Linked DNA regions of Sus scrofa. The protein of the gene in region 2 interacts with the protein of the main gene of each other region in a pairwise test. Links are inferred from orthologs where the notes say so. Each region holds a gene or a part of one and is shown on either strand. Other genes may lie near its edges.

The links.
Region 1: the proteins of TFG (region 2) and CSTF2 interact in binary tests that used the Homo sapiens proteins (3 or more experiments, as listed by UniProt). The two-hybrid records come from large-scale screens. The link is inferred for Sus scrofa from reciprocal best matches to the Homo sapiens genes TFG and CSTF2.

What each region holds. Positions count from the first base shown.
Region 1 is NC_010461.5:82,507,264-82,511,683, reverse strand, and holds the start of CSTF2 (cleavage stimulation factor subunit 2), read right to left. Parts: upstream 2,946-4,420; 5' UTR 2,846-2,945; coding exon 2,788-2,845; intron 1,708-2,787; coding exon 1,629-1,707; intron 1,146-1,628; coding exon 976-1,145; intron 195-975; coding exon 58-194; intron 1-57. UniProt on the Homo sapiens protein: One of the multiple factors required for polyadenylation and 3'-end cleavage of mammalian pre-mRNAs. This subunit is directly involved in the binding to pre-mRNAs.
Region 2 is NC_010455.5:158,290,451-158,293,257, forward strand, and holds the end of TFG (protein TFG), read right to left. Parts: intron 1,459-2,807; coding exon 1,076-1,458; 3' UTR 640-1,075; downstream 1-639. UniProt on the Homo sapiens protein: Plays a role in the normal dynamic function of the endoplasmic reticulum (ER) and its associated microtubules. Required for secretory cargo traffic from the endoplasmic reticulum to the Golgi apparatus.

The sequences.
Region 1 (4,420 bases), on a different chromosome or scaffold from region 2:
AAATCCTTGAAAATTTGATGTGATTTGATTTATCCATAAGCTAGTGCCTCCTCCTACCTTCATTTGTTTCATCAGTTCAAACATCTGCTCTGGTGGAAGACTGGCAACTGCTTTGCTAATGGATTCAGGGGCATCCTCGGGACTGATGGTCTCTCCATAAGGTGACTCAATGACAGGGGCACCAGTGCCAAGACCTGATTGGGAAGAAAGTACAAGAAAGTTAAGGAGGCAGTATAAAGAGCTAAACGATTTCAAGTATCTACTCTTTACAGAGTTGCTGTAAGACCCTGTTGATAACTTTAAATTTTCTGGAGCTGAGAAATAAGTGATTTTCAAGTCTCATATTTCTGTGGAGGAAAGTGACAGAGTGTATCTTCTGCTCTCAGAGGAAAGCTGGCACCAGGGTCACAGAAGTGAACAATATTAACTTAAATTAGGGGCTAGGCATATCCATTTCCTTTTACAAATCATTTCATAAGCAAAATGTTTCTTTTTTTTTTTTTTACAATTTTTTTTAATTGTTATTTCCCCAATACAATTTTTTTTTTCTACTGTGACCCAGTTAAAAGGGTTTAATTCTAATTTCAAAATGGAATTTCTGGATTCTGTTACTTCATGAAAAAAAAAGCCACGAGAATGCCTTGGTATCCTTACCAGTTATAGATCTGGTAACATAATTATAGGAGTGGCGGACACTAATGACAGACATAGTTAGCACTACTAACGGCTTCCTGAGCCTGTAATTCATCTTCAGCTGGAAATCAATTCCTTGGTAACGGAAGGTCTTAAGTCAACTTTACTTATTTCTCAAAGGTGTACACTGCCCTAATGCAGGCAGCTCTCAGATGGCTCAAATAAAGATGTTGTGTAGCTGAAAACCATTTCAGCAGATGCTAAAACATATGATTATGTGGCAAATCTCCATTGTTACATCTTTACTAACTCATGTTGCATACAGCTTGGGTTTTTACTCACTCTTCAGCTCCTCTTTGTTCTTTTCGCTGGCAGCATTGTCCACTCGAAGTGCTCTCCCACTGAATTCACGCCCATTTAGGTTTCGCATGGCACTAAGTGCTGTCTCCTGGTCTTGGTATTCACAGAAGCCATAACCCTTTGGTTTTCCTGTCTCCCTATCATATACCAACCTGGAGAGCAGAACCAAGTATCAGGCATGAATGTTATATACATGCAGGTTTTCCACTAACATTGCTGTGTTCTAATGTGGTTTACTTTAAGACAACCTTACTGCTCCGTGTCACTGAAATATTTTTTACACATCTTTCTAAATGGGAAAAAAAGGTAACTTTTAGGAGTTATCTTGTGGCACAGTGGGTTAAGGATCCAATGTTGTCACTGCAGCAGTTTGGCTCACTGCTGTGGTGCAGATTGGATCCCTGGCCTGGGAACTTCCATATGCCAGGGGTGGGCCAAAAAAAAATGTATCTTTTAGCAAAAATGAATGTGAATTATATGGTGTGTGAATTACATCTCAATAAAGCTGTTACAAACAAAAAAGAATTTTTTTGTGCATGTGAAAAGTCACCAATAAAAACTTTGCCATTATTACTAGGGGCCAATTTGTGGTGATTTTTAAGAAATTTCCACCAAGGAGTAAAAGGGGATCTCACCTGAAACTAACAACAGGTCCAACCTCAGAAAAGATGTCCTTTAATTGCTCTTCAGTAGCCTCATAAGGAATGTTCCCCACTAAGGAAGGAAATAGATAATATATTAAAATTCTGAGTTTGTAATCTAGGTCTTTAGTAAGAAAACATTTACATATATCACTGAAAATGTAACAACTGGTTCAAACACAACGTTCCTCCAATCCCGATTCCATTGTACTCTCTTAGACAAGAATTCAATGGTGTCTACTGACTTTAATTACAAGAGGAATAAACCATTGAGACGAAACACAAAAGGTGTATGCCCTAAGTATTAGTTCTTAGACTGAACTGACAGGTGTTACATTTTTCTTAAGTATGGTGAAAATAAATATTTAGGCATTGGTATTTACCTGAAAGTCTGCAAGTCATAAATAACTGCTAAAAATGTCAATATTATAATATATGAAGCCGGCTCCTATGCCAGTATTTCCACATATACACACACTCAAAGGAGAATGACCACGAATGTCGTAGAGGATGTTTAAAAGTTATTCTGAACTATTTTGTCATGTCCCTCCCAAAAGGTGCTTTAAAATCGCCAGATACTTTTAAAAATCAACTTATTTCGGCCTGAAAGATTGCTCAGAATAGACTCGACCCTCTTTAAAATTTCTCTGAATAGGTCTTAATCATTCATTCATTCATTTATTTACAGTTCACCTTAAGACGCCGGGTGGCCACTACCACTAACGACGAACTAAAATGTGAAAAGCAGAGGATGAAAGCCCTTATGAGAGGGCGGGAAGTGGACAGAAAGATCTATATCCTCAGCATATAAACTGTATTCTGGGATAGGGGGTGAGTAGTACGGGGCAGTTGCCATGAGCCCTCGCTTCTATATAATAATTGAGGCTCACGAAAGGAAAACGCATAGAAGCTGAACGCTAGTTTAACTTCCTCGGCCACATCTTGCAAAGGCTTTGAGGCCTCGGGGGAAGGGGAGCATCACTTTGCCCACGAGCCCACCAAGCTGGCCGCCCGACAGGACAGGCAGGTCGAGCGCAAGCCCGACCCATCACCGGCTCCTGCAGCGATTCATGAGATGCAGGACGGCATTCCTCGGCGTTCCCTGTCTTTTTCTCTCCCTCCCGGACGCTTGGATCCACCGAATTCCTCTCACCGAACACCGAACGTAGCGAACGGTCCACCGCAGGGTCTCTCACAGTCAAACCCGCCATCGCTCTCTTCCGGGGGCTTCCGGTGCGCCAGAGCACACTTCCGTACGGCGCATGAGCCCAGCGCCGAACACGCTTCTGTACGGCGCGTGAGCCGGACGCTTCTGAGCCGGCCGGACGCAGGGCCCCTCCCCTGGCGTCATTTCGTCATAGCAGGCGCGCGTCACGTCCAGGAGAGCGCTAACTCCCTCCCGGCTGGGCTCCAGCCTGAGAAAAACTACGTTCCGTGTTGGAGCTCGGCTAATTTGAAGGCTTTTAGTCTGCATAATTCTTTATTGTTCATTATTTTCTTAAGCTAACGCAAGTAATTGTCGACCACAATAACGATGGCGGCGGCGGCGGCTTTACCATGGTAACCGGAAAGTCGATAAACGCTGCGTCCCTTTCCTTTTAGTTCCGCCCTGTTAGGGGAGGGGAAATGCTTGGCCCCGCCCCAGCGGGGTGCATTTTTATCCTTTCTCAAAAGCTCTGTACCCACTGAGGGAGATGAGGAAACAGAGTTACGGCACCCTAGAGAATGAGGGGCACCCAATGCCAAAGCGCCAACATACTGAGAAGATGGGGAGGTAAACACAGAACAGACCCCGTCTGCTCTCTTAGCCTGTGGACTTCACGTGCTTGATGGTGAGGGGGCGAGGCCGTGGAGGATGTTGGCTGGCAGGGCATCAGAAAACATTAGAACAGGAAATGTAATTGGCTAGTAGTACGCAATTAGCAACTAAGTCATGATTTGAGCTCAGCTTGCTTTCGCTCCAGAGGCTGAATGCTTAAGTGCCCACCAGTATAACTCAGAGAATTTAACGACGTAACTCTTTTCTTTCTTTGCCATTTTTGGTTAGAGCTTAAGATTTGGTAATAGTGGATTGATGGCCCAGAATAATGAACCGCTGAAGAATAGGTTGAGGCACTTAGCCAGGGCATGTTCTGCCGTCAGCCATTTGTGGAGAATGGACTGTTGATTCTTTCACTTCATTTAACCACCCCTACTGTTTATAAAAGAAGAGGTATGTAAGGGCTATTTCCTAAGCTCGTGGTGTTTTATAATTGGGTTTCAGTTATAGGCCATGTGCTTGTGACCCCATGCCTCATTGCTATTGTCTATGAGGGTCTTCCCTTCATTGCCATACTCCCAGAGTGACACATTTCTTTTGCCTCCAAGTTGTAGCAGAATGAGGACAGGAGGTATTGACTGTTACTGTTGTAGGTATTATGACTGAACCTCAATTAGAACAATGAAGTAGGTGCTGTATGAAGAGGTAGGGGAAAAACTAGGAAAGATGCATTTCTACATAAATGGGACTATTGTTTTTTGGGGCTTTGAGTAGAAGAGAAAGAGTATGTAGTGGAGAATCAAATAATTGGGAAACCACAGGCAAGATTTGTGGCACATTGACAGAAAAAGTTTTGTGGAGAAGTCCTGAGTTCTTATCCAATTTTGTCGGTGACACTAAGAATATTAGACAATGTAGGAGGTAAAGCACACAGAGACATTCAAGACTGTGAATGCTCTGTGAGGACATAGAGACTTGAGTTCTTTCTCCTGGCCATAGAAGATCAAGCTTCCAAGGCCTGGTTAAG
Region 2 (2,807 bases):
GTAAAGTCTAAAGCACAAAAGGATAATGCATGATGAAATCCCTATTATTTTATAGGGTATTTACTATATTTTTAACACAGAAAATCTCTAGGAATGAATGTTACCAAGGCTGTTTTCATAATTCTATCTAACTCAACTCGTAATGAAAATCTCATTTTAATTTACAAAAGTAGTGTTCCACTTCATTTGGGGAGAGAGATGGGAATGTTGCATTGTTGCCCTCATTCTTAAAGGAACTTTCTTTGCATCCTTTCAACATGCTTCAATTTTATCAATACTACATTTTATGTTTTTCAAACAAGTATTAACTCTGCAATAAAGAGATGTAGTTTTTTTTTAAGACTGAGTTATCGCTGAATGGTTCACCTCTGTAAGGAAAATTCTAAGTTAGGATCCTCTCTTTGTATTTTTTAATACAGTATCTATTGTGTTTATGTATAATGCTAATCTATCTTTCCGTGAAATCCACTTTCAAGTTTCATTGGTTTAAGCCAAAGGACAAAATTCAACAGGACTGTGCATTTCTGAATAGAAAGGCATAAGATAAAATGTCTACATTTCAAGACCAAAACATCAATTTCTATTGCTTTTTTTCTCATGTCTATATAGTGTCAATGACTAAATTAAATTACAAGACCATTAATGGATTCAATCATCTTTATTAACCTATCAGTGTTACATTTTATACATAATATCTAGTTGTCTTTTCAAAGGAATCTACTTTAGTACATCATGTTAATAGTAAAAAGCCAAGTAAGATGACTGAACTTCAACCTAGCATTTTAATATCCTCTGGACAAGGCAAGCTAGAAAGTCAATCACTTTGCACACATTTAAGAGTAGTGTTCCAAAGTAACTAGGAAGCTGCTACACTTATTTTAAGCAAGGGAGGAAAAGAACTTTCATTTTGGTCTTTTTTTTTTTCCCAGCAAATTATACTCTCAATTAACAGCAACAATAAAAAATGCTCTGCTTTTTAAATTTCTGAACTTCAATACAAATTAAAATAGTAGTATTGGAGTCTTTTGGGAGGCAAAGAGCTAGCAGCTACAATCATCAGTGTAACTGAGCCTCTTTATCGGTAACCTGGTCCAGGTTGGGTATAGCCCTGACCAAAGGGAGGACGGCTACGTGCATAAGGGTTAGACCCACTTGGAAGAGGGGTCATGGTACTTCCAGGAGGTGGAGTAAAACCTGGTCTGGGCTGATAGGCCCCGGGTTGGCTTGGAGCCATTCCAGGTTGTGAGGCAGGGGCCACAGTGTAATTAGTAGGCTGGGAAGTCTGGGTAGTGTAAGTCTGTGGAGGGTAACTGCTCGCCTGGTACTGCTGTGGTGGTTGAGCAGGCATCTGCTGAGGCTGGCCAGAAAAGGCAGGAGCCGGTGCCTGGGAAGTTGGTTGCTGGCCATATCCCTGGAACTGCTGAGGTTGTTGGGGTCCGGTCTGCTGACTATAGCCTGCTGAAAAGGCAAAACATGCAGATCTTATTTTTTCTTTTGGTAAACATTTTTCAGAGAATTAGTCTTACGGTTATGGACCAAAAATGATGAGAAATTTAACAAACTTAATCCTGAGTACTTTTGTAACAAGTAGAGTAGTAGATTCCATATTTCAAGACCACATAGTATCAAAGAAGTGTTTTCCAGATAATTTCTTAAATCCTCTAAAACTAAAACTACTACATATATTCTTCTACTGCAACTTCTTCTAAACTATATAATCCCTGAGAGCAAGTGCCTATTCTAGCATAACTCCCAGTATATACAGTAGATGCTCAAATGATAAGTGTAGAAATTAATTCAAAAGCTAGTTATTAACCTGGTTTTGAGGGGAAGCCTTAAAACAGTACCAAATAAAAAAAACATTGTAGAGAATATTAAATGAAACAATAGTGCTACAAACATCTTACTGTGCTAATGAGATGCTTTAAGGTTTATTCACACTATAAAAACTAAGCCATTTAAGAATAAACATTAAGTGCCCATTTTCACAATTCTTAAAATCTTTTTTGCCTTTATAATTCAAACTTCTGGCTTAGCAGTAACAAGGTAACACATGAAAGCATATCATATTGCCCCACAAAAAGCAACATCTATATTCATTAGTTACTAGGATGTAAAATTTTGTAAAAGAAAAGGTCTGCTTCACTAAAAACTTTTATCTCTACCATGAAACACACCTGCAGCTACTTGCAATGAAACCTCTCCATTGACTGGAATCCTGTCAGCATTAAATACCAGATACATAAGAAAATTATTAAAATATGTACAACCCTGCATTAAAAAAAATAAAAAGGATTGAATGAATTTGAGTATATTCTGAACTCACCTTGAACCTGGGTTCAAAATTTACTCATGAAAGAAAGCTTTTTGACATAGTCCATGAATAAAACTGGAAAAGGTCACAGAGGGAAACTGCCAAACCAGCAGAGTGTCAAAGATGGTCCAATGTTACCACCACCAAGCAGAGTATTTAGTTGACTAGTTCCATATCTCCCAAATTCAAGTTAAAAGGACTAGCAGGATCAGAAATACAAAGATAATAATTTGAAAAGAACTAAACTTTACTCAGTGAAGACCCTGACTAAAATCATTAAGAGCAAGCTTAAATTTTAACAAGTAAATTAAATATCTAATGCATTTTACTCACGGTAATGTCTAAATACGAAACCAAAACTTTGAATGTCATACAATTTCTTCTATCCTCTACATAAATGTAAAGTGTTTTACTGTCTAAATTTTTGGAGAAACAGAAGGACTCAGCTTTTATACTGAAAATGCCTATTCAACTTAAGATCGTAACTGAAATC